3 linked regions of the Arabidopsis thaliana genome follow. The protein of the gene in region 3 interacts with the protein of the main gene of each other region in a pairwise test. Each region holds a gene or a part of one and is shown on either strand. Other genes may lie near its edges. The genes, in order: AT3G24860, TLP2 and TINY2.

Region 1 (3,717 bases), on a different chromosome or scaffold from region 3:
AAGAATTATCATCTTCCAAGCCTCCTGATACAAAAGTGGAATGAGAGGCATGACAGATGAACCTAGAACCTTGAGTAGCTGTAGATCCTGCAAAGCTTAACGCTGGCCCTTACCGACAACAACCCTGTACAGGAACCCAAACTGGTTTGTGTCCTCCACCTTCAGAGTCGGGTCTCTTTTTGGCATTAACATCTTGAAGCTGCTGGTGGTCTTTGGATTTGGCTGAGAGTATAACATAACAAACTCTACAGATTGTGGAGTTTGCAGATTTGGTAAGGCCAGAGGGAGATCAATAGGGAAGAAGTTGGTGGATAGGATAAAATTCATGCAGGTCTTTTTGCCTCTTTTGATGAACACAAAGAGAAGAAGGTATATCATAATGTAAATTACCCACTTGCATCATAGAGAAGTAGTCTCTTCTTCTTCCCATCTTTTGGTTTGGGAGAGAGTAGAAACAGTTTATAATGTTTTGTATAGAAGTCTCTACTCCTCCATCCTTGTGGCATATACTTAGGGCCCTTTTTTAACCTTTTCCTCTAACTTATTCTCTTGTAGGTTTAGGTTAATTTGATGAATGTATCATTGTTCTTTTATGGTTAAAAAAAAAGTTCACTTCACTCCCATAAACATTAGCTTACATAGTGCATTTCTTCAAATCCGTTACCTATGTTACAAATCTAAAAGCAACAATGACTAAATCTCTACGTTAGAAAGAATCAAAAGCATTGTTGATAAATTGAAGAAGCTGAGTTTGAGAACTCTGAATCAAATTGATTCTACGAATCTCCATTTCCTTACGAAGTCTCACAGTCTCTTTAGCAAACTCAATCTTCTTCTTCTCCATTACCATTACTCTCTCAGCAAACGCCCTAATCTCCGCTGCAACGGCTCGCATTCCTTTCCTCCGCCTCTCACCACCGTCTCCATCGTTCCTCTTCCTCTTCGATGATCTCTCTTTTTGTCCCCATGACAACAATCCTCCACCAACTCCAGCAAATCTGTTAACAGTTCCAGGTCTTCTCAATATGTAATTAATACTCCTCGATTTGCTCTGTCTCTCATCTTCTTCTTCCTCTTCTTCGTAGTTATTGTTATCCTCTTCTTCATCTTCTTCTTCGTCGTCTACGTAGCGATTATTCGAATTAGGAGGAAGACGAGTGAGAGGACGAGCTGAGATCGGAGCAGGATTTGAAGAATCCAATTCCTCCATTTGATTATAGAAAGGCCAAATTGAGATAGGTCCCATACTCTGTCTCTCAGATCGGAATCTTTTACGCATCTTCTCGATCTTATGCCTACACTGTGTAGATGTCCGTTCAACGCCGGAACGAGATGAGGCAGCAACGGCGATCTCTTCCCAGTGAGTTGATTTTAGAGGACCACGACCAATTGCGAACCATTTCTCTTTGTATGATTCGATTAAGAGGAGGGTCTCGTCTTGAGTCCAGAGAACAGGTTGGGTTTTTCTGGCGACGGCGGAGGTTGATGCGGCTAAAGCTACGACGGTGGTGTGCGGTGGTGGAGAGGATGGATTCGTGGGTTGAGGAGGAGAGGGTGGTTGTTTCTGATGCGGCGGAGTAGCGGCAGAATTAGGGTTTGAATCAGAGGGAGGAGAGGAGGTCGGCGAAGGCGTCGCCATGGTTTAGTGTAACAATGTTAATTGGTGCTTCGGATTTTGTCAGTTTAACTCCAACTCGGATCTTTGGGCTTTTTTTGTCTTCTTGTTGATTTTTTAAATTTTGGGCCCAACAAAAATTTACTAGACCAACCCACTTAGAGGAAGTAAAAATTTACTTCTCTTTTTTTACTCAGAGGAAGTAAAAAGTATCGGAGGAACAAAAGAGATAAACTCATGCAGAACTCCTTTACTTATTCAACACAATAGTCTAACTTGTAGGGATTCATTGAAGAGAAATTGACTAATTCTTCCTAACAACTGACAAGTAGAACAAGGAGAAGCAACTTTTCTCCATGAAACAAACCAAGAGTTTGAGGTGATGCCTTAGCATTCTTCGAAACAATCAATCACTTCAGCATATTTGGTGAGCAAGTTTATACCCGAGAGAAAGCCCAAATATGTTTACTGGGTTTATATTCAGATAGTCTTAGCTAAAGTCGATCTAATCACTTCACCATATGTTTTTTTGTTATTCTGTATCAGATCATCTAGAAAGGATTGTGTTCTTCCCGCGACGAAAAATTCCCTGGAGGCTTCGATAAAGATGGTCTTGCTTTTGCTGCAAACAGCAAAACAGCTTATGTGGTCAGCCACTACTGCAGTTATCTCTGTTTTTCAACCAGCCTTCCAAGTTGTGCCTAGGCAAACCTGCGTTGATGAGATCCTCCTCTCATTTTCTCTCTAATCGTTTCTCATCCTCTTCACTGCAATTTCCTCCTTCTTCCATCAACGGCTGCTAAGTGAGCAAAACGAACAAAAAATTTAGTTGGAATATGACAAGAGATGAGCGTGATGTCTCTCACATGTAATATATATGGTTTGAGGGTGAAGTAATAGTAGCAATGCAGACTTCGGATATGAGATTCAAATATAATCAGGTTTCAGCTTGGAAGTTTCTGCAGTGTCTTGGCCAGCACGAATGCATTCCCTGTGTTAAAGGACGTCGTACTTATTCAAGTGGCAGAAGGAAGCAATTGTAGCAAAACCTGTCATTGGCAACAAATTTTGTTCCTGATTTGATCATTTAGTAGAAACCTGTCACTTAGTAGAAAACAACCCTGGTTTTGATTGTATTGAGCATTTCTCATGAATGTACCATAACATGTAACCTTTTCACAATTGGATCAATGTCATCACACAAAATTAGACTTTGAGATATATTACAAGAAATCGAAAGGTAACTAAAGTAGACCAAACAACAAACCAGATTCATGTCAAAAGTGCTAAGTACATACGATTATAATGATCTGAAACAATAGAAGGAACAAGTTACTAAGAAGAAAGAGGAACCCAAGTTTCTTTAGTTTAACTCTTTCAAGAAATTACTAGACAAAAGAATCTTCAGAATCTCCTGAAAATCACTGTGCGTGTTAATCAACCAAGTTATAGTCACAAGACTCACAACAGACATAAGATACTTAGCAGAGACAGAGAGCAAGAGAAGAGCTACTCTGTTCCATGGCAAAGCAAAGGACTCCACGACACCTGAACGACCAAACACTAATGTTGTCGCCTTCTTTCAATCCGTTAGCCTCAACGACATCGTTCCACCCACAAATCAGATTGTAGTTCCAGCTTCCTTTTCCTGATTCCTTCTTCAGCTCCCATCTTTTCAACATCACACCCCACTTTACAGACCGTTGATCCACGAGAATCGCTCCCACTCCAATCTTCTTATTGTTGTTGATGTCTTCCTTTATGATTCTGGACTCCACAGACGTCAAGAAATCGTTTTGGAGTAAGTTGTTGAACGGCATTGAGAGACGGTTCTGTGTTGGGTTTATATCAGTCACAAACAGAGTCTTCTCAAAGATCAGTTTAGCATCTTTGGCTTCTTTCATGTCTCTCATCACCTTGACAAGCCACTTAGGCGTATCTCTCGCTGTCCCTGGAAAAGGAGCAACCTTTGCCTTCTTGAATCCACCGGTACGTTTCCTCTCTTCCACAGCACGTCTCTTGCGGCTTGTGTTCCCCGTTAGGCACAAAGACAGAGGGTTTGGTGGGTCTTTCGTCTCCATCTTTTCCGACTCAGCCATCTT
Region 2 (3,757 bases), on a different chromosome or scaffold from region 3:
CTTTGTGTACACAAATATTTATGTAGGATATATACAATATAGTTGTATTGTGGTCCACATACCAAACATGAGCAACTTCTAAGATGAGAATCATTACATTTTAAAAGCTAATAACTTGAATCATTGAAATTTACAATCAGGAGTATTAAAATATAGATCCTGGTAAATTATTTTTAAGGTAATAGTTGTATTTAGAGTTACCAATTGTTGTTGTTTTTACACCCATTAACAAGTTTTTTCACTTAAAAAAAAAATCACATCCATTAACAAGTTTATGCACGAATAATAACATTTTTTCCCGATGAATGCTACAAATGCTATTCATGTGGCAACCGTAACCATTAAAGTCATAATGTAAAACTCTATATATATTCGTTGTTACCTGAAGAAGATTTTGTGCATTTAGTAAAGTCGTATCCTTATAATTTTGTTTTTATCATATGTAACCTAGTAATGTGTGTTAGTGATATCATGCATTGTGTAACCTCACATAAATATAAATTCGATAAGATGAATGACACAAAATAAAATGATAAATATTACTTTAAGATAACTATCATAATTTGCCAAGAAAATCAATCAAATGGGTGGAGAAGAAGGACATTTTTTTGGGTGGTACCGTATACGATTCATTAGGTTTTGTTGGTACCACATATCAAAAGTCATTAAAACTTTAATAGGACGTCAAAACAAATGTATGAAAAAATAAAGTTGAATTAGGTACGTGGCATATATTGTTTGCCAAATCCATAAAATTATAATACCACCTCCTGGAGTTTGATCTTAAGCCAGACTTTCTTATATGTATTAATGCATGGTGTCAAAATGGGTGGCTTGACAGAGATTTTGAATTTTTAATTATGTAAATTGATACATCATACATGATACATGTGTGATGCGTATATATCATTTTAAAAATATTTCACATTGTTGGATAAGGTCAAACAAAAAAAGAAGAAGTAAATACGTATATGTTGAAGACAAGATCCGTTGTGTTTATACTTAGCACGAGAACAAGTGTATATATTAACGAATTATATGTTATAGATATGAATTATCCTAAACTCAGCCTGAAGAAGAAAGTTAGATTGATTTTTGACTTAACCTTGTGATTGCGAATTTTTCATATAAAAATATTCTTATAGTTATGAAAATAAATGGAAACAAATTCATTAAAGAAAGTAAGAAAAACAAAATCTCTAAAACATCTGGTAAAAAGACGCTAGATGCAAGTTTTATAATCTACATCGAAAAGAAAGAAAAAAAAAATCATTCACAATCGAAGAATAATGAAAATTTTGAAAGACAATAAATGCAAAAAAATTAATTAGAAAAAAAAATACTTAAAATGTTGAGATTAAACTTTTATATGCTTTCAAACCCCCAACTTAAAAGTAGTGTGTTTATAAGATCAATTTTAGTATGGAGGGTGGACTAATTTCAGGTTGGATTGATATGTTGGTTCAAGTTGGATCAATCATATTAAATTTTAAAAATTCGGTAATGAATATAATTTTCTTTTCAAGTATCATTTACTTCCAATGTAAAAATATTACACACATGCAATAAATTAGAAATTCACATACAAACTAGAATAAACAACTTTACAACATAATAAGATTACGTATTACTTATATAAAAAATTAGACATGTTATTTTCCTGTTCACTATAAACATCGACAATAATCTTTGTTGGACGTAAAATATATTTCTTCTCAATTAATAGTTTCATTGAAATAAAAAGGTTTATAGGTTTCTTCAAGATTTATTTTGTCGGATAATTCTAAAGTTTTCGTTTAATCTTCTATATATATATATATAAATAGTACTATCAATTTACCGACCAAATATGTCATTGCCACATGCAGTAAGTCATGATCAAATTAAAGCCATGCAGTAAGTCATGATCAAATTAAAGCCAAGTAGTATCATTAGAAGCTCTTAATTATTTAACTAACTAAAAAATTTAGAAGTTAAAAATATTTTCCGACCAAAATTGTTTTCTTAGTGTTAAAGTTTTTAATTTGTAGAGTTTCTCTCTGCCTTTAAACGTTTCATTGAAAACTATAAGAAAAAGCGAAGACTTCGGATCCTTTCTTTCTCAATTTGTAACAAGAGAGAGAGGTTCAGGTTCGTTTTGGTGGTGACCACTCCTTTATTCACCTACGGTGAGATCGGCGGCGGAGTCTAGACGACGGCGATAACGCCGGTGACCGACGGAATCATGTTAAGATAGTCACTGGCGAATTCGTTCTTCTTCCCCGGAGACGACAAGCATCGAAGAATCTGTTTAGAGACAGCTATGCTTGTCTCTGTTTCTGCGTTTTCTCTTTCCGATCTTGTCTCTCGGATCCGGTGAAGAAGCTGCCGCCGATCACATCTTCCAGTTTCCAGAGATTCTAAAGCTTTTGTCTTTTGATCCTTCATCGAATTCATTGAGGTTGGTTTTCAATTTTCTTTCACATTTCCAGAAGAAAGATTCTTCTTTCTTCTCCCTCTGTTTTTGGATCTGTTGAGTTTTCTTGTCGGATTTAAAGATTGGATTTTGATGCGTTTCAATGTGAATCTGTGATTTTTGAAGATTTCGAGCTCTTTCTATTAGTAGTTCATATTTTCTCCTTACCCATTTGGTATAGATGCGTAGATCCCAAGTTTTTATCTTTGGGGTCTGTTTTTGCTTGTGAAAGTGTTGAGCTTTGTTTTGTTTCCTTTAAGGAGATTATAAGAAGATGAACTTTGAGTGATTGCAGCTATCGGGGAGTTTTGTGGTATGCTGAAAAGAGATGTCTTTGAAAAGCATCCTTCGTGATCTGAAGGAAGTGAGGGATGGACTTGGAGGCATCTCCAAGAGAAGCTGGTCAAAGTCGTCTCACATTGCTCCTGATCAAACAACTCCACCACTGGATAACATACCACAGAGCCCATGGGCTTCTTTGCCGCCTGAGTTGCTTCATGACATTATCTGGAGGGTTGAAGAGAGTGAGACAGCTTGGCCCGCTCGAGCTGCCGTTGTCTCTTGTGCTTCAGTATGTAAATCATGGAGAGGAATCACTATGGAGATTGTGAGGATCCCTGAGCAGTGTGGGAAGCTCACTTTTCCAATCTCATTGAAACAGGTAAAGAAAGTTTACTGTTTCTTTTGTTCACATCATCATGTTGGAAATCTAATATTCTTGTTTGATTGTGAGCAGCCGGGGCCTCGAGACTCTCCAATTCAATGTTTTATTAAGAGGAACAGAGCAACAGCTACATACATTCTCTATTATGGTTTGATGCCTTGTGAGTGACCCTTATTCCCTGACTAAAGTTTTCAACAATGTAGAAACTGTTGTTCTAAGGATGATCCTTGTTTCGAATTTCAGCGGAGACTGAGAACGACAAACTGTTGTTAGCAGCAAGAAGGATTAGAAGAGCGACATGCACAGACTTTATAATCTCCCTATCTGCAAAGAACTTCTCACGGAGCAGCAGTACTTATGTTGGCAAATTAAGGTAAGCAATTGTCCCGAGTTAAAGTCTTAACCATCAAAAGCTCTTTTGTCTAAGCAGTCTCTACTTATCTTGTGGGATAGGTCTGGTTTTCTGGGAACCAAGTTCACAATATATGACAACCAAACAGCATCATCCACAGCACAAGCCCAACCTAACCGAAGACTCCACCCGAAACAAGCGGCTCCTAAACTACCTACGAATAGCTCTACCGTAGGAAACATAACCTACGAGCTCAATGTTCTTCGCACAAGGGGACCTAGAAGAA
Region 3 (3,757 bases):
TGAGTAAAAAGAAGCTTGAACAATCTTGTAAAATGGAATAACGGATACGAAGGCAAATAGCATAATTAAAATCCTTTAAAGATCCTTACCCAAAAAAAAATTAAATCCTTTATAGCTGATAAAATCTAAGATGTTTTAGACATTTTATTTGGTTTCATATTACAAGATGTTTTCCAAGTTTATAGATAATTTAAATATATTTGTTATTTGTGACCATTTATATTATGCAGTATTTTATATTATTAGTTGAATTTTATTAAATCAAATATAAAATAAAGGTTTTAAAAATAAAAAAAAGTTCTTTTTTAATTAAAACATCTTATATTTTGAAATATAGTGAATAATTTTTCTTTTTTTCTATTTTTTCATTCATTACTAGTTAGTTTTGACTTTTAAATAGAGGTTTCAAAATTATTTAATGGTTTTGTAATCCGATTGATTTCATAAACTGTTCTCGTGTTCTAACAATATTTTCAAAACAATTAAACTATTTTCGTTCTCGTCTTAAATAGACTTGTAAGAATCTCACATAAAATCTGTTTAACTAGGATAAATATAAAGCAAGAGTCAATATATTCATGTCAATAATTTTTGAATTAGAAACTTGTAAACTCTAAAACCTTTGTTGACCAGTTTTTTTTTTTTTTTAGTAAACTTAAGATGATCAATATTATTGTTAATTAGTATTACGTATATGATCAATATAAAATGCATATACGTATTGCTGAAACGAGAGGCGAAAATACAAACAATTCTCTTCATTGCAAGTACTTAGACATTGCTATTACTTGTGAAAAATCCAAAATGATTATTAAGAGACATTATTTTTTCGTCATTAAGAGACATTTTTTTGGCATGATTATTAAAAGACTTTAGTGTATGTGTATATTTGACAGACACTCGTCCTTCCTTATAGGTACGCAAATACGACCCCATGATTGAACAAGTTATTGTCCCTTAAAATTTCTTGAAGTTTCCTCTACAAACTTCTTTTCTTTATTTGCAATATTGTACCTCTAATTTTGGGGGCTTTTTTTTTTAGTTTGGAAGCAACTTTAACCTAATTAATATCAATTGGCTGGTAGATTTCTTTCTTTTATGGGTCTTACGCCCATATATTTTCTAAGACCAGGACAGAGGTATTAATTATCAATTTACTTACGGTTAAACCCCCTTTAGTACACCTTTTCAAGTCTAAGTATAAAATATCCTCTCAAATGAAATCAGTACAAATTGTGCAATTAATCACACACCATTTGGTGTCTCGAAAAAAAACACTCAGTTACAAATTTCTCCAAAATTTAAAATTTAGCCTCGAAGCATATGGTTTATTGGTTAAGACAAGTTCCTTTAATTAGCCCTCGATATATATAACTAAAGTAAACATATGATACTTACTAAAAAAATTTCCTGAATAAATCTTCAAAAACTGTTGACATTCATATAATATGTTTATAGAAAATCAAAATTTGAAAGACAATAACTCTATATCCGTGTAAATAATATGTATATTAATTCTGATCAAAACTAAATTGCAATTATGGCATATCATATATGTGGATACATATTGCCTTCACATGATGAGCATATATATATACCAATATGTAAATAGGAATGTATGATCCAATGAGTCGAAGATCAAGGTAAAGGATAATTAAACAGTAAAACTGAGGTGAAAATTATCTTACCACACAAAACAAAAAAGGCTTGTCTCATCATGTTCATCTCGGAGACAACTTTCATATAATTTACGTACCCGGCCGAGACAAAATCTCTTTTCAACACTGCCCTTCTAAATATGGTCGTCTCATAATCTTTTAATATACTGAAAAGTATTTTGTTTTCCTAATTTAGTTGCATAATGAGATTTTAAGAACCGGGAAAAATATTAAAGCAAACAGTGACCCCAAGTGTGTCGTTTTATACTAATAACAATATATTCACAATATAGAAATAGAGTGGGTCTGTGAGAAAAACAAAAATAAATGGAGCCACTGGGTCCATTTCCTTTATTCAATTAGACTTATTGCATTGTTTTTGGTCCCATTCCCTCTCTTCTAACCCGTACCCAAATATATTAATGCATATATAAATATTTTGAGTGACTGAGAAATGATAGCCAAAATTTTACCAACATTTTTCTCTTCTCATATCAAAGTTTCTCTCTCATTTCTTCATCACACTTCACTGCCCTGTTTTTTTTCCTCATTTTGAATAGTTCTCAAACTTATATATTTTTCCCCCTGAAGCCTAGCTATTTCTTTTTATTTGCATTAATCTCGGGATCCGAATCGAAAAAAGCAATCAGAATAATAGACTTGTACGATACTTGTGCCTAAGCTAACACAATGGCAGAGGAATACTACAGCCTCCGCTCGGAGAGAGTAACTCAGCTTCTTGTCCCTAACTCGGAGTCTGACTCAGTGAGTGACAAAAGCAAAGCTGAGCAAAGCGAGAAGAAGACTAAACGTGGGAGAGACTCCGGTAAACACCCTGTTTATCGCGGAGTAAGGATGAGGAACTGGGGAAAATGGGTGTCGGAGATTCGTGAGCCGAGGAAGAAATCACGTATTTGGCTGGGAACTTTCCCGACGCCGGAGATGGCGGCGCGTGCACACGACGTGGCGGCTCTGAGCATTAAAGGAACGGCCGCTATACTAAACTTCCCTGAACTCGCTGACTCATTCCCTCGACCCGTTTCATTAAGCCCTCGAGACATTCAGACAGCAGCTCTTAAAGCAGCTCACATGGAACCGACGACGTCGTTTTCATCTTCCACGTCTTCGTCGTCGTCTTTGTCTTCTACGTCTTCGCTCGAGTCTCTTGTGTTGGTGATGGACCTCTCGAGGACTGAGTCGGAGGAGCTCGGTGAGATTGTGGAGCTTCCAAGTCTCGGGGCGAGTTACGACGTCGACTCGGCTAACCTTGGGAACGAGTTTGTCTTCTATGACTCAGTTGACTACTGTTTATATCCGCCGCCGTGGGGACAGTCGTCCGAAGATAACTATGGTCACGGAATTAGCCCTAATTTTGGCCATGGCTTGTCATGGGATCTCTAACAGTTTATTTTGTATCATTACCATAATGTTTTGTTTAAAACAGTTTATTTTGTATCATTGCCATAATGTTTTGTTTAATCACGTTTTTAAAACCCTTTGCTGTTTTTGTTTTTTTTTTGAGTTTTTTGGTGTTAGCTAAGAAAGGTTTTTTTTTTTTTTTTTTTTGGAGCGGGTGTGAGCTCCATAATGATACGTGTACAAAACTCTATTTGTGTTTTTTTTTTGTAATATATAAATATCGGGTTTTTTTGTCGGAAAAGAAGGGAAAATAAAGTGATTTTTTTGTAAGTATCATCAAATGAATAAGCGATAAATAAAAGTCCACTAACTTTATGATATTGTAATAATGCAAATCATCAAAATTTAAAAAACTGTTCAATGTTTTTGTTTTTGTTTTCTTTGACAAAAAAAGTTTTTTTTTTAAAATTATAGGAAATATCTTTAACCATTAATTGTAAATTAGAGTCTCACTATCCCATTCATTTTTGTTTTGTCGACATAAATGGAACGGAGAATGTGAGTTAGGGTAAAAAATGAGGGAAAACACAAAGCAAGAGCAACTTGTCCAAGCTGACGCAAACAATACACAGCCACATATGTACATCCATGCAATACTTTATTATCATCTATTAGTATGTTAATGACCATAATTTCCCACTTTAAAAAATTTGTTAGACAATATAGGCCACACAAATATC

What was found.
Region 1: the proteins of TINY2 (region 3) and AT3G24860 interact in a two-hybrid assay, tested with the Arabidopsis thaliana proteins (one large-scale study listed by BioGRID).
Region 2: the proteins of TINY2 (region 3) and TLP2 interact in a two-hybrid assay, tested with the Arabidopsis thaliana proteins (one large-scale study listed by BioGRID).

The regions. Positions count from the first base shown.
Region 1 is NC_003074.8:9,071,564-9,075,280, reverse strand, and holds AT3G24860 (Homeodomain-like superfamily protein), read right to left. Parts: upstream 1,659-3,717; 5' UTR 1,640-1,658; coding exon 707-1,639; 3' UTR 599-706; downstream 1-598. Other genes in the region: AT3G24870 (Helicase/SANT-associated, DNA binding protein), read left to right, coding at 1-44; AT3G24850 (B3 domain protein (DUF313)), read right to left, coding at 3,097-3,717.
Region 2 is NC_003071.7:7,943,971-7,947,727, forward strand, and holds the start of TLP2 (tubby like protein 2), read left to right. Parts: upstream 1-2,027; 5' UTR 2,028-2,187; coding exon of another isoform or gene 2,188-2,436; 5' UTR 2,437-2,440; intron 2,441-2,718; 5' UTR 2,719-2,783; coding exon 2,784-3,116; intron 3,117-3,191; coding exon 3,192-3,279; intron 3,280-3,362; coding exon 3,363-3,492; intron 3,493-3,572; coding exon 3,573-3,757. Other genes in the region: AT2G18270 (uncharacterized protein), read right to left, coding at 2,188-2,436.
Region 3 is NC_003076.8:3,727,091-3,730,847, reverse strand, and holds TINY2 (Integrase-type DNA-binding superfamily protein), read left to right. Parts: upstream 1-2,121; 5' UTR 2,122-2,348; coding exon 2,349-3,059; 3' UTR 3,060-3,395; downstream 3,396-3,757.